Linked DNA regions of Notamacropus eugenii. The protein of the gene in region 1 interacts with the protein of each later gene in a pairwise test. Links are inferred from orthologs where the notes say so. Each region holds a gene or a part of one and is shown on either strand. Other genes may lie near its edges. The genes, in order: RABL6 and serine protease inhibitor Kazal-type 7-like.

What was found.
Region 2: the proteins of RABL6 (region 1) and serine protease inhibitor Kazal-type 7-like interact in binary tests that used the Homo sapiens proteins (3 or more experiments, as listed by UniProt). The link is inferred for Notamacropus eugenii from reciprocal best matches to the Homo sapiens genes RABL6 and SPINK7.

Annotation. Positions count from the first base shown.
Region 1 is NC_092872.1:492,640,502-492,651,259, forward strand, and holds the start of RABL6 (rab-like protein 6), read left to right. Parts: upstream 1-6,029; 5' UTR 6,030-6,445; coding exon 6,446-6,575; intron 6,576-10,758. Other genes in the region: CCDC183 (coiled-coil domain-containing protein 183), read left to right, coding at 1,274-1,390, 1,501-1,597, 2,449-2,570. UniProt on the Homo sapiens protein: May enhance cellular proliferation. May reduce growth inhibitory activity of CDKN2A.
Region 2 is NC_092872.1:410,444,433-410,455,694, reverse strand, and holds the start of serine protease inhibitor Kazal-type 7-like, read left to right. Parts: upstream 1-6,600; 5' UTR 6,601-6,674; coding exon 6,675-6,735; intron 6,736-8,291; coding exon 8,292-8,317; intron 8,318-9,527; coding exon 9,528-9,652; intron 9,653-11,244; coding exon 11,245-11,262. UniProt on the Homo sapiens protein: Probable serine protease inhibitor.

The DNA.
Region 1 (10,758 bases):
AGCCCAATTCTTTTCACTCTCCCTCAGAAACATAAGACATGGTCCTCTCAGCTCAACGATTCTAGAGAGAGCCATTTTGGGGGAAGCCATGGTTGTTCTCTGAAGTGACTTTAATGATTAGAGATAATCCCCTCAAACCTGTCAGTCCCCTAATAATAATCTCTATAATTAAGCTATTTTGGTATATTGGGGAAAGGTACCGAATTTGGAATAAAAAAAAATCAAGTTGGAATCCTGGCTTTGTCACCTATGTGAGCTTGGGCCTCAGTTTCCTCATTTGTTAAAAAAAAGTACCTTGTACTTTTGTCAACGGAACCTATTTATACTAGCAGCCCAATCACCAGGAGATTCTTGGAGAATGTTTCATATATTTATTCTCCAGTAGGTGAAGCAGGACAGCCTGTAATTTGTCTTAAAATGATCTGCTTCAAGGTAGGGGGGAGGGGAGGGAGGCATTGCACAATGGACACAGAGCCAAGAAGCCCTGGGTCCAAGGCTTTCTCTGGAACATGCCAGCTGCATGATTCTCAATAAGCCACTTTAGTGCTCCTAGGCAACTCTCAAGAAAAATAAGTTGTGATCAAGATGCTGACCTGTATCAGTAGAAAAAGTTCTTCCTTGGGAATTTTCTACACTGATAAAATTACAGGTCTAGTAATCAGAAGGGGGGGGCCCTGAAATCAGGAGGACCTGAGTTCAAATGTGACCTCAGACACTTACTGACTGTATGACCCTAGGCAAGTCACTTAACCTCGATTGCTTCCCTCTCCCCCCCAAAAAATGGAGTTTCAAAGTTGAGGGTGGGGTTGGGGAAATACCTTGAATCTAGTTCTGGTGAATAACCAGGACTCCTCTCATTTCTGCTATGATTTTATAGCTTTCAGTTATATGCCTTTTCAGCCTTTATCTTCCTAGGTTTAAAAGGCCTAATCTAATCTTTTGAATCAAGTCTCATCCAGCCACCCCTCCCTCTACTGTTTTCTGAAGCTTCTCCAGTTCAGTTCTGTCTTCCTTGATAGCTCCCCTTCTTCTGATGCTGTTAAGAGTTCAGTCCCCCAAAAACCTGTCCCCTAAACTCTACCTAGCTCCTAGTTTCTGAGGAAGTGGTACCTCCTACCTTCTACCTCGTCCTCCCCAGATGAGTATAAAAAGACCCTAAGACCCATCACCCAACATTCCCTCCAGTCTGAAATTCTGACCCTAAGGAAACTCCCTGCAGAAAGGGGCTCAAGGGAGGAAATTGAGAGGAAATGAGACATTTGTTTGTCTTCAGAAAGGAATGCCTGGTCCTGCTGATACCAAAGATGCCTACAGTAAACTACAATACTGTGAGAAGAAGCTACTCTATCTGATAGAAAGAACTAAGAACTATGTGGAGATATTTGAAGAGGTAAATGAGGGAGGGCAGAGGCAGAAAAGTTCTTCTATGTACCCCCTTTCCCGGCCTTTTACCCCTGCTTCTTTCCCCTGGGTCCATCTTATTACACCTCTGCTTTTTAGTACTCCCAGAAAGTGAGAGACTTCCTAGAGGAATCAACGCTAAGTGAAACACATAACGTGAAGATTACTTTTGAAGATGGTGATGATGATGGGAGAGGTGAGTTACAGTGGCTTAGGTGATAAAACTGTAGAAAAACCCATTCATCCTGATGTCTGAGGCTGCTGATCCTGCCTTCATCAAGTCCACCCTCCCACTCCCCCAACCTCACAGACAAACTTTAGGCAATGGGGATAAGAAGCAGGAATTAGAAGTTCTAGCTTTTAACTTAGGGAAAATCAGTAGCTAAGGTTTGTGATTGTCCCTGATGGGACTGGTGAAAGTCTGTAGAGTACTAGATACCCCATATAGCTCTTCAACTGAACATTCCCAGACATTCAGAGCTGCATTCCCAAAGTGGGGGGGGGGGGGAGGCTGGTAGTATATGGGGCAAGATAGAATTGGATTGGCACATCGTCCATCAGCTTTGCCTCACACATGATGGTGGACTATGTTCTGAGAACCTGGGCAACCTTTTCTTAGTCTCTGAATTATCAGAGATGAGTCTTTCTGCCACACTTCCACTCCAAACACACACCCTTAATCATCTAATTAAGAAATAACAATTTGCACTTGTATAGGGCATAAGGAAAAGGACTGGAACATGTGCTATGGGTATCTCAGAGGGATTTATTTAAATAACATGCAGCTTGGGTTTAGTTATGAGGTATTTCCTCCTTGATTTGCTACTTAACTGTAGATAATGGTAGGCTTAAGGCCTGGTGGGTAGGAAAGGGAGATGGGACATAGTGAATTTGGGAGTTACTAGTAAGTCATTCCCCTGAAATAAGAATGGTAGCCAAATCCTGTGACTCTCCACCCCCCTGGGAATGTAACAGTCCACAGATAGCCTCCTGGTCAGTGGGGTCCAGAAGCTCCTCCACTGTCCTCTTGCCTTATACTTTTTCCAGAATCCTTCCAGTTTCCTGATGTGGAACATAGCTACGTTCCTTCTCGGGACGAGATCAAGAAGCAAAGTGAAAATCTGATTGAAAGTAAACTCAGAAATATCAAGAAACCAAAGAAGAAATAATGGTTCCTTCTTTAGTCTTGATCCTTTCCTTAACCCCACAAGGCCCTGCATGTCCAACTTTCCAGCTCACAATGGACTGCCTCCTTTCATGCTCAGTTTATTACACAAATAAAATTTTTTCCAGAACTGAATATAGCACAAGCCATTCATGGCCATGCAACAGCTCCTTGGTAGGGGAAGATGGGACTTAAGTGGGATCATCACCATAGGAGAGTGAAGGTAGCAACCCCTAATACCTGCTGTCAGCTCCACTTAACAGAAAGGAAGGTTGAAAGCAGTACAGGAAAGCAAAAAGAGAGTTGGATGTGGGAATTGGGACACCTAGGATGTCTGTCTGGCTCTGCCACTAACTCATTTGTTATCAATCTGTCAAACATCATCTGCCTGGCCCTGTGCTAAATGCTAGAGACACACACAAAAAAAGCAAAAGACAGTCCTTGCCCTTGAGCTCACAGGCTAATGGGTGAGACGACATATAAGCAATTATGTACAGACAGGGTATGTATAGGATAAATTGGAGATAATCAACAGAGAGAAGGCATTACAGTTAAGGGGGATGAGGAGACATTGCTGTAGAAGATGAGATTTTTAGCTGAGGCTAGAAGGAAGCCAAGGCCACCAGGAAATGAAGGTAAGAAGGGAGAGCATTTCAGACATGGGAGGGAGCCTGCAAAAAATGCCCAGTGAGGAAATAGAGCACCCTGTGCAAGCTAAAGAAAGTCAGTATCAATGGATCATAGAGAATATAGAGGGGAATAAGGAATAAGAAGAACTAGGAATGTAGGATGGAGACATGGTACAAAGGGTTGCAGAAGTCAAGTACAAGATCTGGAGCTTTATCAGAATTTCTATTTGACAGGGAGCCATTGAATCTGTTGAGTGGAGTGAGTGGGGGTGGGGTAGGGATTCACATGGTCAAACCTGTGCTTTTCGATGATCATCTTGACAGGTGAGTAGAGGATGGACTGGAGTGGGTTGAGACTTGAGGCAACGAGTCCCACCGGAATGCTATTGTAGTCTCAGAGCAATATGATAGGGGCTCTCATCAAGGGTGGTGGCAGGGTCAGAGGAGAAAAGGGGGCATGCTAGGGAGCTTTTACAAAGGTAGAATCAACAGACTTGCAACTAACTGGGTTGAGAGGTAGGGGGAGTTTTGAGAGTGACCTTGGACAAGTGTCTCTGGGTCTTAATAGTTTCCTCCTTTATTATATATGAGGGTTATGTTACCTCTTGGAGTAAGAAAGCATTGAAATTAGACTGCTTGTGTTCAGGTCCCTGTTCTGCCACTTCTTATCAGAGACCTTAGCTAGTCACTTTAATGCCTACCTCATTACATTACTCCTGGACTATTGCAATAGCATCCAGCCTAATCTCCTTGACTCCCTAACTCAAGTCTCTCCCCACTGCTGTCCATCTTCTACTCAGCTGTCAAAGTCATCTTCCTAAAGCCCAGGTCTGACTCTGTTAACTTCTCCCCTCCCCTCACCCCCCAACCCCACCCTAACTCATAAACTCCAATAGCTCCCTATCAAATATAAAATTTGAGTCTTAGTTGTACTTTATAAGTGAGGATAACACATCTTGCAGTGGTCACATCCCCAAGATGAATGAGGAGAATACTTTATAAAGGGTAAAATATTGAAAGGAACCTATTCTCTTTTTTATTTTATTTTTAGTTTTCAACATTCACTTTCATAAGATTTTGAGTTCCACAATTTTTCCCCTTCTCTGCCACTGAACGCTATGGGATCTCCTCAATGAGATCAACAACTACTGAGAGAGAAATTACCCTACTAAATCAGGAAAATCTAAGTGGATAAAGAATGTGTATTGCCCAGATGACAATCTGGGTTTCGTAGTTGGTACCAAAACAAGTCTGTCCCCATAAGTAAATGTCCTCCCTGGGTAGAGAAGAATAGGCCTGTAAAATGAATGGGTAGCATTTAAGTGTCTTGGAGTCCCATAACTAAGTAAATGTCTGACAGGATTTGAACTTAGGTCTTCCTAACTCCAAGTGTAGTACACTATAGACTGTGCCAGCTGGCTGTCTGTCTTGGTGAACTCAAATTTGTCTTTTCTGAGCCGTTTATCAAAAAAGCTGCTCTATTTTTTGAAGCCTTGTTAGTCTGATGGCCAAACCTGGGAAAATGCTAGGTACAAAATTTCCCAGCTTCCACTGAAACAAATCAGATAAGTGGTGCTCCTCAAAATGTGCCTTCATGTGAGGAGGGGGCCTCTGATACCAGAAAAGGACATTTGGAATCAGATGACTTGAGTTTGAATTCGGACTCTGCCACTTACTGCCTGCTTTGGGCAAGTCACTTAAATTTTCTGAACCTTTTTTCCGTATCTCAACTTCTCAGGGTCCTTCCAATTCTAAATCTAAATCTAGAATTACACGTAGGCTTATAGATTTAGAGATCATCTCCCTTCTGTCTTTAAATCTATAAACCTATGAGATCATTTAATTCAAACATCCACTTCCCCCCAACCCCATTTCATAGATCAGCAGACTAAGGTCCAAAGAGCTTAAATGATTTGACTACCAGTTACATTGTAAATGAGTGAGTATAAGAGCTAATATTGGAAACCAGGTCATCTTGGTTCTAAATCCAACTTTCTTCCACTACACTATGCTGTGTCTGGTCACAGATAGGCAGCCTATTTAATTCATCCGTCCAGAACTATACGTTGAACAGACAATAACCTAGGACCACAACTGAATATAAGGGAGTGGGTGGATGGATGGTCCTCAGCAGAACATTCAGTGCTTTTAAAAATCCAAAACTGGTCACAACCGTGAAAGGCCATCTTATTAACACTTATTCTCCAGATGCAAATACAGCAACTCTTATATAATTAAACATCATGAAACACTATGGCCTCCTGGCACACTGTAACCTGGAGGTGAGAGATGGGGTCTTGGGGGTGCAGAGTGCAGCCTGCTCTAGATGTGCCTGGTTTAAACCCTGAGTATCTGCCATTATTACCTTCCAGGGAGACACCCATTGCTTCCCCTGCCCCCAACCCTTGGGTAAGTCATTTTAAATCTCTGCCTCAGTTTCCTCATCTGTAAAATGAAAAAAATAAAAGCACCCACCTCCCAGGGTTGTCACAAGGATCCAATGAGATGACATTTTGTACAGCCTTAAGGCCGATACCTAGCCATCATTATCATCAGTTTGAGGAGGAGGTGAGTGGGGTGTCTGGAGAAGCGGGGGTGTCTCTGGAAACAGTGGGTAGGTAGAGCGACTCCAGAGCAGAATTCAAATTTCACTCTGCCCCACCCCTTCTCTCCGCCCCGCCCCCGACAGCTCCGTAGGAGCGGCGAAGGGGGCGGGGACTTCGCGCCTTCCCGCACTAGCTCCGCCCCCACCGCCGTGTCCCCCACGGGCCCCCGTAGCTGAGGCGACGCTGAACGAGGCCCCCTTCTCAGCGCCCCCCTCCCCCTCCGCCCGAGCTGTCCCAAGATGGCGACGCAGGAGAGCGGCAGGTGGCGGTGCGGAAGGCCACGGAAGCTGTGCCACGTCCTGTGAGGGCACCTAGAGACCCGGCGTAAGGCCAGGGAGAAAGCCGAGGCGGGCTAGCCCGCGACCGTCTCGAGCCGAGCTGCGGAGAGCTAGAGTCCTGCCTGACCGCCTCGCCTCCTCCGCCCCCGGCCTTGAGGAGGGAGCCAGCTGGGGCTCTGCCCAGGGGGAGGGGGACGGGGAGAGGCCTCCCCTAGCCGCCCCTCAGCCTCGCCCTCCGTCCCCCTTCCCCGGGCATGGTCGCCCCCGCCCGGAGCTTGCCCCTCCCTGCCTGAGCCCGCCGGAGGGCCCTCTGGATCCTCCAGGACCGCTGTAGGGGGGAGGCGCGGAGCTGGGAAGGGCAAGAAGATGTTTTCCGCCCTCAAAAAGCTAGTGGGGTCGGACCAGGCTCCCGGCCGGGACAAGAACATCCCCGCGGGGCTGCAGTCCATGAACCAGGCGCTGCAGAGGAGGTTCGCCAAAGGAGTGCAGTACAACAGTAAGTGAGGCCGGGGGAGGGTCGCCCCGGAGCCCCTGCGCCCCCCACTACTCTCGTCAGCCTCGGGGGTCCCCGAGGCACTTGGCCGTCAGTGCTGAGACCCTGCCCCGGGAATTGGGTACCTCGTAGGGTCGGGAGCTAACGGGGACCCTCTGCTTCCCCTTCAGGGGGGAAACTGGGCATCCTGCCTTGGATCTTTTTGCCCCGTGGGAGGGGAGGGGCAGGAAGCTAGATTGGGGGTTTGGGGGTTAGGAATGCTAGACAGGATCGCACCAAGTCAATGCTGGAAGGATCATGGGACTTAGAGTTGGACCGGAAGGATAGATAGATGAGCTCATCCGGATCCCAGGTTTCCTAGGACTTGAAGCAGGAAGAACCCATTCGGTTCAAGTCTCCTGGGATTTAAACCAGTTCAGCTTCTCGACCGAAGGAGTATGCTGCAGGCTGAGGAGAAGATGACGTGACCTGCCCAAGGTCACACCCTCAGCGAGGGGGTGAAATCAGAACTGGAGCCCAGGACCTCCTCTACAAGGCCGACACGCTGTGACACTGGCCTCCTGGCTACTTCCTTGGACGAGACACTCGTCTCCAGATCCCAGGCATTTTTCACTGGCTGTCCCTCAGTGTAGAAAGCTTTCCCCTCTCATCCCTACCTCCTGGCTTCCTTCAAGTCCCAGATAAAATCCCAATTATTTCTCTTAATTCTAGTGACTTCCTTCTGTTGATTATTTCCAATTTACATTGTACATAGTTTGCACAGTTACTTGTATGTTGTCTTCCCATTGGTTTATGATTTGTATCCCCAAGGTTTAGCCAGGTTGCTGGCAGCGCTTAATGAATGTTTGTTGAGTGACTGATTACGGAGTTTTAGGAGTCCTAGCAGATTTAATTTCTTTCTCCTAGGCTCCCCCCCCCCCCACACACACACACACCCCTGCCTTTTTTGAAACTCACTTAAGGCCCTGAAGTAAGGAAAAGGAGAAATTCAGTTTAATTCAACAAGCATTTATTAAGCACCCACTTAAGCCAGGCACTATAGTGTGTGCTGGGAATACAGAAAATAAGGGTTAGCCTTCATTGGTAATATTCTTCAGGATGAGTTTCAAACGATGGTGCTAAGTTTAAAGAAAAGTAAAGTAGTGGTCAGACTGAATTAGTTCTGGCTTTTGGGCCCATTCATTGTTCTGTGCCTGTCACTGCTCCCCTACCCCCAGATTTCTGAGAATTTGATATTTATAGATAATGTGACCAGATTCAATTTTTCTTTTGTTTTTTAAGTATTAGTCTTAAAATATTATTTTTGAGATGATCTGACATACTATCACAAATATAAGTAACCAGGACCAAGAATAACAGCTATTACTGATATGATGTATTAAAAACTAAAGTGTTGCCCTTTTTCTCAAAAAAAAAAGTATAGTAGCAATTTTTATTGGACTACTCATTTATATGACTATCCATTGAATGCCCAAGGCGGCATAGTAACAGTGGAAAATTGCAGGATTTGGAGTCAGAGGGCATGGCTTCACACTCCTGCCCTTACTGTTAATTACCTTTTGTGTACTTGCACAAGAAATTTCATCTCCCAGTGCCTCATCTTTAAAGTGAGGAGGTTAAATTACATGAGTACCTTACAGTTCAAAATCCGTATTCTCTGTGTGTCATAGGTGCTAAGGAAGTTTGCAAGATACAGGTGAGGTATAGCTCTTTCCCTCCAGGAACTTTGAGTCTTTCTAGTCTTATTTTTATTTAAACTTGATTGTATGGTCATGCTAGGGGATTCTGTGCTGTACAATTGTATGATTATCACCAGATTGAAATTATACAAACCAGATGTGCCTCTCAGAGTAATCATTTTCTTTGGAAAGGTGGATGAGAATACAGAAGTTGTGAAGTCCGCAGTATATGAGCACTGACTCTATTCTTGCTGCCCTTACATATCCTAAATAGTGTTGGATAGAACATAGCTCATTATGTGCGTTCTGCATGTGATATATTGATGAAAAGGCCATGGCAGCAGTTTTGCTAAGCGCCTTAAGCTCACCAAAACTTTTTATGGGATTTTTGATACAATATTATGGATAGCATTGGCTATATTTTGCCTGAGAAATTACTATGTAATTTGAAAAAGTAGCCTCTTGTTCTGTCACTCTGACGGTGAACTTAATTCTAGAATTCTTCCCAGAGAGTAGACTAACTTATAATGAATGTGATTTTAAATTAATGCACCATCTTATATAATAATTTATAGTATTATTGAGTCATGTGCATGTTCTTTGTAGTCTTAACTTTCAAGTGTGGATTTTGAAAAAAATAATTTTGACAAAATTTTAAGATCATAGATAGAAAGGACCTCAGTGGAATTAGAGGACAACCTTCTCATTTTACAGAATGAGCAAACAGGCCCAAGGAGGTGAGATGACTTGCTCAAGGTCTCAAAGGTTGTGCATCAGAATTTGAACCCAGGGCCTCTGACTGTGGTGCCTTTCATTCTTCCTTTAATTTTTTTATGTTGTTGTTTTTAAGAAGCAATTCTGTGGGGCTATGTTTAGTGAAACTCCAGAAAACAGGGATACTGTTACTGTTTATAATCTGTTACACATTGTGAACGAAATGATCATTTGAAGACAATAAAGTGAGAATTTAAGATTTTCATCATACTCAAATAATATAAATTAACTCCACGGCTCCTAGGCATTGTTCTGTCCTCAGGTAAATTTTCTCATTTGACATTTGATTTTGCTATATTGCAAATCAAGACAACAAACATTGGCAACATTTCAAAACTTTTATGTTGTATTTTGACAGTGTTTCTTTTCATTCCACTTTTAGTAAAAAAAATTTTTGGAAGGGGGTTCCTAGGCCTGTTTCAAACAAAGCTTTCAGTTTTCATAATAATTTGCCTTGGTGGTAGGATAGAATATTTAGAAGATGAACAGAAAAGCTTTGTCAAATTTAAAAACAAAGTTCAATCTGGCCATATTGTAGCTGTAATTTATTTTCATTTGTTTCTCTCACTAAATGTTCAGATTCATCAAGGTAGAGGAATGAAGTCAAATAACTACCTTAGCAAATAGTTCGTATAAGTTAGTGGGATCTGTGTTTAAGCCCCTGATTTTCCTTTAAGCTGTAACCAACCATTAATATGACACTGTGTTTTAAAAAATATTTTTAAATGACTCTTTAATCTCTTGGAAATTTGGAGCATCATTCTTGAATCTGTTCCCTCTCAGAAATGTGTGTTTTTCCGTGGAGGTCGCCCACTGATTCTGAGTGGGCTGAGAACTACGAATTTACTTGTTAAGGAGAAAAAGAGGAAGAATATCTGTTACTTCATGAGGTCTCAAAACTTACAGACACCTTAGAAATCATCTGGTTCAGTTGCTACCTGATAGGAGTTTTGGTAGAATGATAAGTGGAAAGCTAGACTAACGGATGGGTTAAGAGAGTGGGAAGAGAGAAAGTGAGGCAGCTTTTATTGACATTTTTTTGTAGTTTAGGGTTCTGTCCTGGGCCCTCTTCTCTTCTCTCTCTATACTACTTCACTTGGGTGAGCTCATCTCCTTCCCATGAATTTAATTACTATCTCTATGCTGATGGTTTTCAGATCTACTCTGCACAAAACTGTTGACCTCTGATCTTACACCTCCTCCTGCCTTTAAGACATGTAAGCCCAGATGTCTGAATTTTATATGTCGGAAGCTGTATTTGAAATCAGGTCTCATCCACTTCACCACCTAGCTGCCTCACTAGAGATCAGGAAAAACTTAGGAGGTATAGTATATAGTACCTCAGTTGAGTCTTGAAGAAATCTGAGGGTTCAGAAAAGCTTGGATCAGAGTAAATTTCAGGTATAGAGGAAGGTAATATCTGTAAAGTTAAAGGAATAAAGGTTTCTTCAGGATCTAAACCCTTTGTTTGTTCTGGTCTACCAATTTATACCTGATCTGAGCCAGGTGGATGATCTGTTCTCATTAAGAAATATCTTATCTCATATAGAGAATAATAGGTTGAAATGTATTGTTTATATATTTTTTCAAACCTGCTGGCAAACCAAATATATCCTGGTGGTAATTGTATTTAGGTTTTAATAACCTTTTCCTATTTCTCTTATTGCTGATCTTATCACAGGTTTTCTTCCCAAAACTGAATTTTTGCATGTAACTCTTCTCCACCTGACATG
Region 2 (11,262 bases), about 82 Mb from region 1:
AGTATTTGAAGGGCTATCATGAGATAGAGGAATTAGACTTGTTCTGTTGTCTCTGAAAGGCAGAATTGGGACCAATGGTTAGAAATTTCTAAGAGGCAGAATTTTGTACTTTCCTCAGGAATTTCCCCCCAAATATAGTCAATTTACAATAAAATAGGCTACCTTATGAAGCATTGAACTCCTTGTGAATGCAAATATTTATGAAAAGTCAGGAACACTACTTCTTGGCTGTGTAATACAAGGGACACTCACCTTGGTCGGAGGACAGAAATATATAATTGTTGAGGTCTCTTCCAAGCCTGTGTCCATGATTCATTTGCTTTCTGTCTCATTTTATCAATTAGAGGGATTTTCTTTTCCACTGATAAGGGAGGTTCTTGATATTTTAAAAATGGAAGAATGTCCTGACCAGGGTCATCAAATAAAATGTGAATACTTTACACTGTTTACTTCCATGACATTTTTGTTTCTCAAACTCAGGTGGCCACTCACTTCTTTGCAGTCCTTCTGAGAATAAATTATTTTTCCCTTTAAGAGAACATAACTCTAAAGTAATAAAATTAACTTGATCTTGGAAACTAGGTTGGCAGAATGGGGAAGATCTTAGAAAACATCTCATTAATCCTATTATTTCATAGCAAAGAAATAGGAGCAAAGTAATGGTGCAACTTTCTAAAGGTCAAAAATTCACAGAAGAACTAATGCTAGAAGAATATAGGCCTCCTAGAGGCAGTTTGGCAGAGGAATCAATGGATGACCTCATGAAGCCTTCTTAGCTTTAAATTTGTGATCCTATCATCCTCTGTGTTCTAAATACATATTATAAGGGAGAACTTTCTAAATATTAGAGAATTGCAACAATGAACTTCATGACAATAAAGAAAGCCCCAAGTCATTGGAGGTTTTCAAGTAGAGATTGGATAATCACTTGCCAGAGATGTGAAAGAGAGGATTTGTGCTTCAGGTAGGGGTTGAACTAGATAACAGTATAAGAATAATCAGAACAATCATAGAATCATATGCTTAGAACTGGATGGAACCTAATCTCATTTTACAGATGAGAAAACTGAGGCCCACTGTTATTAAATGATGTTCCCAGAGTGACACAACTACTAAATGTCTGAGGGCAGAATCTGAACGAGTCTTTTGAACTGAAGGTCATGCTCTCTACCCACTATAGCATGCTGCCACATTTAATGGGAGTTACATTTCACAACATATTTCCCTTACAACAACACTGTGAAGCAAGCTATGATTAATATATTGTTCCTCTGGTGAAAATAATGTAGTAAACAACTTCAGGGGAATAAAAGGGGTTTTCTCAAGGTCACTTGGCCTGTAAATGGAAGAGCTGGGACTTCAATACAGAAGAGCTAACATTTTCAGAAAGAAGTCATTCTGACAAGGCAAATTCTAACTTCCCTGAAGAAAGTATTGACTGAGATAAACAACTGCAGAATTAAGAGATACCTGTTAGAACATGCCCTATTGAATGGACATCAGGATTTTCATAGTCTACATTAGGCTGAAATTAGAAACCAGCTGGAAATACCAAATAATGTCTATTACAGAGCATAAAAGTTCAGGTCTTGCCACTCAGAACCCATATAGGCTAGTTTCTAGAAAGGCAGGACCAGAAAGTTCCACTAGCCTGAGAATTCAGAGACATGGAATATAACCCTCTCTCAACTACAAAGTTATGGCATAATCACTACAAATCATTTTCTCTCTCCAAGTATCAATTTCTTCCTCTGTAAAGACAAAGCTTTAGCCTACTTCCAAAATATTTTTAAGGGTGAGGTCCTGGGTGTGCAGTGTCAGACATGTTCATGCAGCATAGTGAAAGGTGATGTAATGTTGGCAGGAAAAGCAATTTGCAAATTCATAAACCTATCCTGAATAAATTTATATGACATTTCTCACTGAAATACCTTTATAGCATGCAGTTGCCTTGAGCTATTTATTTTCCTTATGAGTATTTCAGATATGTCAATAATAATGATGCTAAATTCCATATGTCAGGGCTCTATTATTGCATCAGCTTGAGTATGGTCTCTACCAAAAGTCTCATTGATTCTACCCAGACCCATTGACATCTTAGAAGACCACCCTTATCCAATCCAATATCCAATCCAATTCATTTTACTAAGTATTTATTAAGCATGCAATCTATGTCAGGCATTCTGTTAGGCACTGATGGTACAAATACAAAAACTATCCCAGATGGAAGGAATTTACATTCCCATTAGGGTATGACACTCAGAACTAAACACAGCATTCTAGATGTGGTCTGATGAAGACAGAGGATAGCAGGACTATCATGCCTCTGCCCCCTTTCTGTATCCTTTACGTCTATTAATGTAGGCTGAGAACCTGATAAGTTTTTTGGTTTCCATGCCACACTATTATCTCATAATGAACTTATAGTCCAATGAAATTACCATATTTTTCACATAAACAGCTTCATCATATTTCCCCTAACCTCTAGTTGAGCAGGTGATCTTTAGAAATTAAATGCAGGATTTGCATCAATGCCAATAAAGACTCACCCATTACTCTTATTTGGTGAGGTTGGAGAAGGAGATTTGACACTATTATTCATTTAATATCTATCTTCTTCTCCACCAGCATCTGTAGATTTAATATCATCATTTTTACCTGGATCCAAGGCATTAATTATAATGTTGAACATGATTAAAGATAATTCCATAGAGTTACCTTTTTTGAGACCTCTTTCTGGGTTTAAGATGATCTATTAATGACTGAATTCCTTTAGTCCAATCATTTAAGCCAGTATAATCCTCATATCTACAGTCCATCCATGAAGATAGCATGAGACATATTAACTTTGTTAATGCTCTGCTAAATTCCAAGTACTATGACTATGGCATCCTCTTTATCTTCCAATCTAATATTCCCATCAAAAAAAGAAGAAAAGGTACATGAAATTTTAAAATGCAAATTAAAATATTTCTAAGGTTTTACCTCATAACTATCAAATGGCTGAAGATAACCAAAAATAAAAGTCAATGCTGGAGAGATTGTTTGATGAAGCTGTGAATAGTCTAACTTTTCTTGATAACAGTTTGAAGTTATGCAAAAAAAGTGAGTAAACGACTTCAAACCCTTTGAGTCACCAATCCTATGACTAAGCACATCTTCCAAGGAACTGAAAGATAGAAACAAAAAAGCCAATGTATACCAAAATAATCTTAGTGGTATGTTTTATGATAGCAAAGCACTGTAGACAAAATAAGCGCCCATCAGGTGGAGAATGACTAAAAAAAATGTCATGTGAATGAATGTACAGCAACATCATTGTGCAGTAACAAATGACCAAGATAAGGAATGTAGATAAACATGGGAACATCTGTATGAACTGATCCAGAGGAAAAGGAGCAAAAACCAGAAGATCAATGTGTACATTGATAACAACAATGTAAATTTAAAGATCACTAAAAGGAAATCAAACTGAATAATTGGAAAAACCTGCAATGATCCCAGGGGGAAATAATGAAACTCTTTTCTGTCCACTTTTAGGAGAATGTAGGAACTAAAACCCAAACATTGTGGACATTTCCAAGGGTACAACTGTATCAGTTGTTCTTACTTAATTGTTTTTCTTTTGTTACAAAAAAAGGTTTAATTCTAGGCTGTCAGGTAGTAAAGAGGGTGATACTCAGATATGTTCCTGAAATGGAACTAATCTGGGACAATCTGTCTTGATTATGAGGGATCATCCTCTCTCTCTCAATTCACCACCCCCTTAATATGTCCTAGAGCTTTCCCAATCAACATCAAGCTCGTTGGACTATAATTTAAAGACTTCATTCATAAATACTGGGACAACATTTGTCCAGACTTAGTCTTGTAGCATCTTTCCCATTCTCCACAATTTTACAATCACCTCTGGAAGTTTAGCAATCAATTCTGTCAGCGCCTTCAGGATCTTAAGGATGTAGTTATTGTGAGGATAAAATGGCAATACACATTTAAGGTATTTTGTAAACCTTAAAGCACTATGCAAATAAATATTACTGCTATTTGTTGGTTTTTCTGAGACTGCTCTTTCTTGTAGTACGTTAAAGGGTTGGCTCTGTAGTCAGAAAGATCTGGGTTCAAATTTGGATTCAGGTGATTCCTAGCAGTGTGATCCTGAGCAAATCATTTAACTTCCATTTCCTCAGTTTCCTTATCTGTAAAATCAGGATAATAATAACATCTACTTCCCAGGGTTATTGTGAAGATCAAATGAAAGCTCAAAAGAGCTTAGTACAGTGCCTGCCACATAATATGCACTATATAAATATATTATTATTATCATCTTCTCCTCCCCATCCACCTGTTTCTCCTTGATATCTTTTGCTGGATCATCATTCATATTCCATCCCCTAATTAGAAGCAGCTAGGTGACACAGTGGATAGAGAGTAGCGGACCTAGAGTCCAGAAGACTTGGGTTGAAATCCAACCTCAGACACTTCTCAGCTGTCATTTAACCTCTCTCTGTCTTAGTTTCCTCACAGTAAAATGAAGATCGTACTTCCCAAGTACCTCCCAGGGTTGCTGTGAGGATCAAATGAGATGATATTTATAAAGCTCCTAGAATGGTGCCTAGCACAAGTAGATGTTTAATAAGTGCCTGCTCCCTTTCAGTTCCCTCTAAATCCAGACAGCTCCTTTTTGTCCTCCTTATTCATATTATTTCTCTTTAAATCTTCAGAACTCATTTTTAAGAGCTTCCCATGCCTCCTAATATGACCTTCTCTGTAAGTATACCCCAAAACTCTTTGGAATCAACTCTTTCGAAATTCAGGGCACATGTCAATCTTTACCTAGCTTTTCTCTCTTCTAGCACAAAATCGAAGACAGAAAGGTCATTTTCCCATAAGTTTCCCAACATCTCTACTTCTGTCTCTAGTTCTTCCTAGTTGGTAAGAATCAGATGCAGACTAGCAATTCCCTTAGTTATTTCCTCTACCTTTTGAAAGATGAACTTATTACTATAAAGCAAATCCTGGAAAAGGTAACTACTCTACTTCTTATATAAATATTGCTCTAGCAAATATCAAGATATTGAAATTTCCTGTCGCTAATATATCCTAACTCTGCACCAAGCTTATGATTACTTTCCCAAACTTTTCATATTTCCACTTTCTGATTAGTCCAGGAGGACTATATCCTGCTGGCAGTCTGGTGGAGCCTTTGCATGCTTTCTCAGAAAAATACTTTTAAATAAGCAAATGAAAGCTAGATTTTGGTTAGAATGTAAAGATGTCATTTTTCTGCATCCAAGTTCGCAGACAACCTGATACCTGCCCATAATCCAGAGAACCCAGGTTGCCATTGCTCTGGTAGTTCTTACAGCCAACCTTCCAGGACAAAAGCAAAGTGTTGGTGGGAATCCTGAACTATAGTAGTAGGTGCCTCTCTTCTTTACTTTATGAATACCTTTTCAGGTATATCTAATTTCCCTCCTCTTGTCTCAACTATGTCATTCTTCCATTCCAGTTTTTCTCCTTGATTGCTTCTTGTCTTTCTCCTTGAGTCCTTCTCCTCTTTCTGCTCAAGTCCTCATGCTGCACTTACTAAATCTTCTCCTGTAGAAGGGACAAGCAAGAGTACAATATTCCTATTCTAGGTGAACTTTGCACAAGTTTGCAGATGATAGGTCAAAATCATTTCGGAGCAAGCTAACTTCTCCTATGCTCACTGAAGCTGACCCTTGCCTATATAATATGTTCCCTAGAAAAGCAGTGTGATGTACTAGAAAGTGCCCTGGACAGAAGAGTTGAGTGGAATCCAGGTTCTGTCACTTCCTAGTTGTGAGACTATGGGGAGTCACTGAATATCTATGAACCTCTCCTCCTCTATTAAAAGGGGATAATGGTATTCTCTTCCTCCTTCCTAGATATAGTGAGGAACATTTATCATTAGCACTAGAAGGAACCAATGTTGTTTACACTTTTCATTTCATCGATGAAGAAATTGAAGCCATGGTCACACAATTAGTAATTCTGATAGCTGGCATCTCAGATCCAAGTCTCTATTCATATGTTCAGTGCTTTAATGCTAAAAGGCATTAAAAATGTCATTATTACTAATGTACCATAAATTAAAATTTGCTGTGGATATCAAGTCAATTTCAGAGTCAGGAAGACTTGGCTAGAAGTCTTCCCTCTAATACCTACTGACTGCGTGACTCTGAGTAAGTCACCTAATCTCTGAAGACTCCAGCCCATTCTCTGAATTTAAGCGCAAAGTAGTTATTGGTCTGCCTTGGTAGAGGGAGGAAGTTTCACTGGAGAACTATGAGAGAACTCATTGGAATTTCCTATTTCAACAAAATCAAAAGTTCCAAATGAAAAAAAGAACTGTGAAATCATAAGTATTACATGACATGATCTTCACTTCCAGAAGCATCAATGGATTATTTGTTACATCAAATAAAGTTAATAATCCAGTTGTCTGACTGGTTGAACTTAACAATTAGTTGGCAAGTGTTACTCCACCCAGGGTGTACCAACAGCTTGTGAATACTGTCTCTATAAGATTACAATATATAGGTGGGGGACACCTCTGCGGTCATATAAAAGTCATCCCACTCTTGGGGACTAATCCACTACTCTCTGTGGAAGAGTCCCTTGCCAGTGATTCCAACTCTCCCAATAAGACCATGAAGATCAATGGGGGCTTTCTACTGCTGTTTGCCCTGGCTCATCTCTGCCTAGCCTCTCGTAAGTAAAATAGAATTTCTTCTCAGAAAGTGTCCTAACCCTGGGATTTCCCCAACTTGTCTCAACAGGATGAGTTTTCCTGACAGGGACAAAATGGAGTACTGGTCTGAAAATTAGGAAATTTGATTTCAGGGCTTTGTAATTTCCTTTCAGTGACGTTGTCTCCCAGACAGTAAAATGAAGATAATAATACTTGTCCTGCTTCCCTCATGGTGCTATTTTGAGGATCAGATGAAGTAATATATGGGATGTGATAATAAAGGCTTACATAGAACCATGCATTACTGCTATTCCTAGAATTAACTGGCTATATTGATTTAGACATACAATATGACACTGTGGAGAAAATTCTTGCCTACAAGTCAACAGACCTGAGTTCTGAAAAGTTGGAACTCTGTCACTGATTTACTCAGTGACCTTGAACTTCTCTGGGTCCTAGTTTTTATATATGTAGAAAGAACATGTTCTAAGGTTCTCTCCAGCTCTAAAGTTCCAACTCATCTATTAAGTGAAGTTAGATTAATAAACTCTAAGATTCCCACTAGGTCAAATGACCTGGGTTTTTATTTCTAGCTAGGCAATTAGGTGGTACAGTGGATAGCTTGCTGGGCCTGGATTAAAGAAGACCTGAGTTCAAATCTGGCATCAGACTCACATAGTACTGTGTGACTCTGGGCAAGTCACCCAAACTATGCTTGCCTCAGTTTCTTCAACTACAAAATGAGGATAATAACAGTGGAGCATTTACATCACAGGGTTATTTTGAGGATCAAATGAGATAATATTTGTAAAACGCTTATTACAGTGCCTGACATATAGTTGGTGCTAAATAATTGCTTATCCCCTTCTCCTCTTCCCCTTAAAGTTTTCAAAGTGCTTTTCTAAATTATTTGTAAGGTAAATAGTGAATGTAGTTCCATTTTATAGATGAATAAAAGAGGTTTAGAGGTCAAATAATCAAGTGTCTTACCCATTTACCTAGAGGCAGATAGGTAATGCAATAGACAGAGCCCTGGAACAGGAGTCAGAAAGACATGAGTTTAAGTCCAGCCTCAGATACTTACTAACTGAATGTCTCTAGCCAAGTCATTTAACTTCAGTCTGCCTCAATTTCTTCAACTATAAAATGGAGAAAATAATAGCACCCAAACTCCAGGGTTGCTGCAAGGATTAAATGAGATAATATTTTCAAAGTACTTAATACAATGTCTAGTATATAATATATAGTTAATAAATGCTTGTTTCCTTCCATCCTTCCAATGCCACAGAACTAGTAAGTATGAAAACTCAGTGCCTAGCTCAGGTCTCTTTATTCCAAGTCAAGTGTTCTTCCCATGACATTTATGTGGATAGATAACAGAGAAAAGAAGAAGTTTGCTGACTGACTGAGATTGAACAAGAGTGGTCCAGGATACCAGCCTCACACTAAATTGTAGACCAACAATGATAGTTCAGAAGTAAAGAATTTTCACAGCCTAAACCCAGCCTTGGTCACTGAGTTGAGGGAGGAGTACAGTGATGAGTCACCTGAACTTCTATCTCTATTTCTATTTCAGGACTTCCTGTACAGAATTTAGGGAAGGTAAGCAGATTGTTTTCATTTCCTTCTTATTTTTATTGCCATCCATCCATTAGGAAAGAATTCAATGAGCGTAGAACCCTATGTTACATTATGGAGATCAAAAAGATCAAGAGTGGCCTCATTTTGGTAGACTTGGAGTCAGAGGATTTGGGTTTGAGTTCTAGGTCCATCATTAGCTGTGTGACTTGTCATTCTCAGAAACTTGGTTTTCTCATCTATAAAATGAGAACGACAGTCTCACAAAGCCATTTTATAGAAAGTTCTCTGTAAAATACGAGTTATTACATGCAGTGATTTCTCATTGAAAGAGCAACTACCCTTGAGACTAGGAGATCTATGCTCAAATTTTGGTTCTAATACCTATTAGCTATGTGACTGAGAGCAAGTAGCTTCTACTCCTTGGAAATTTAGTTTCCTCACTTGTAGAATGTCAAGATAGGATTTGATTGCAAGGGTCACTTCTAGGTGTATGGACAGGAGAGATGAAAAGTGGAGCTGGAAGTAGGGAAGTAACTTTCCTACCTCACCATCCCTATAGAAAATTCCTTGAAGAGTGAAACCCTCTCCTAATTACATAAATGACCTATGGAATACTAGGAAATCTGGTGAATAGATAGATGAGGATTTTCTAGAATACACTGTTCTTGAAAAAGCAAGAGCTAGAGGCTCAACTTCTGCCTTGTCTGTGGTCCACCTCTCCTCAGAAAGAGAAGGGTAAAATGGATTCATAAAATATCAAAGGACATAAAAAGTCCAACCTAGAAGGGACATTATAACATAAAACTTTAGACTTGTCATGAGCCTGAGAAACAAAACATGAAATATCTAACCTGGAACAGTCTTTATAACTAAGAGTGTTATTTATTCAAAGTGGAATGGATCTTGGGAGATTAGAAGTGAGAGGGTAGAAAGTAAGACAGAATAATAGAGTTGAAAAGGATCTCAGCAATTACCTAATCTAAACCATTCATTTTATATAGCTAAAAAAACCTGTTCCCTAAAAAAGGAAGTAATTAAACTGAGAGCTTCCAGTAAGTTGAGGATAGAGTCAAAATTTGAAAGCAGATTTCTAGACTTTAGGCCAGGATTCTTTTCCCTGAACCATAGTGACTTGCCTATCTTATAAGCTCATGAGGTCAAGAATTTTAAGTGCTCTCTCTGTCTCTCTCTCTCCCCTCCTCCTTCTCCTTCTCTTCATCCTCCTTGCTAGGAGGACTGTGGGATTTATAAGAAGTACCCAGTGTCAGCTATTCCCTGCCCTGTTACATATTTCCCCGTGTGTGGTTCTGACTACACAACTTACGGAAATGGATGCCATCTTTGCATAGAGAATTTGTAAGTATGGAAAGGGGATAAAGGAATGGCAGGGCGAGGGTTACTGCTTTATACATTCATAGCACTTCCTTTTCTGATTCAATTACCAGACTAACCTCTCATGAAAATGAGGCAGACATAAATACATTAGATAAATTCTTTCATGAAAGACTTGTAGATAAGCTGGAGATCTGTAGGTGGCATGAGAATACAATTTGATAGGTTCAGAACTACCTGAATTAAAGGCCTCCAGAGTGATGGATAGATATCCAAACAGAAGATCTCTAGGGAAGGGCCTTCTAGCTTTCTCCTTCATCTTGCAGTTTTCAACATATTTATCAGTGATTTAGCTAAGAGCAAAAATTACTACCTACAAAAATTTGCAAGTGACACACAGCTTAAAAGAATGGTTAACATATTCAACAAAGTTCAGATACAAAAGATCTCAAAAAGGGGTTAAATCTAATATGATGCCATTTTTAAAATATATACAGTCCTGCCCTCAGGTTCAAGAAATCACCTGTACAAATATAAGAAAGAGAAGGCATAAATGACTGTTAAGTAGTTTGTGTGGGAAAAACCTGGGAATCGTACTGGACTATAAGCTCAGCATGATTCAACAGTATGACACAAGGGGAAAGAAGACAGAAACAAAATAATTGTCCTTCTATGCAGAAGAGGAATTACTTTTTCTGCTTGATCCCAGAGGGCCACATAAGTATATGTATGAATGTATGTACATATATATGCATTTATATGTTGTATAAACAGACATATATATTACACACATATATACATATTCACACACACACACACACACACACACACACACACATATATATATATATATATATATATATATATATATATATATATATATATATATATATATATATATGTATACATACTCTTATACTCATTGTTTCTAGTTCTGCCCTCTAGGACCAAGCAGAAACAGTAATTCTTTTTCTGCACAGAGGACAACTATTTTATTTCTTCTTTTCTGCTGTACACATGTGTATATATATATATATATATATATATATATATATATATATATATATATATATATATATATATATATATGTGTGTGTGTGTGTGTGTGTGTGTGTGTGTGCGTGTGTGTGTCTATACGTATATAGACATATTATTATATATTACATATATATAATATATATAACTCTATAGACATTCATTATATATGTATATTATATATACATACACATACACACACTAACAATAAAGTTATTTTAAAATTGAATGGAATCTTGGGGGATAGCACTTTCCTCCTTAGTGGAAGTATTCAAGCAAAAAATTGATGACCAGTTCCCAAAGATTCTGATTCAGGTATAGGTTGCTCTGGATGACTTCTGAGACCCCTTCTGATTCTGATATCATGATTCTATGAGTAGTCCCTAATCTAGGAGTCGAAAGACTTGGTTTCTAGTTCTAGCCTTGCCACTTTGTAACTTTATACAGATCCCTTAGTATATATGGAACTGAGTTTCTCTCTAAGGTAGTTTGTACTAAGGGGCTACACTAAGTTGACCACTGCTCCCGATATTATGTGAATCTGTAACTCATAACGTTTATTACTCTTTCTCTGCCCTTAGGAAAACAAATGGAAAAGT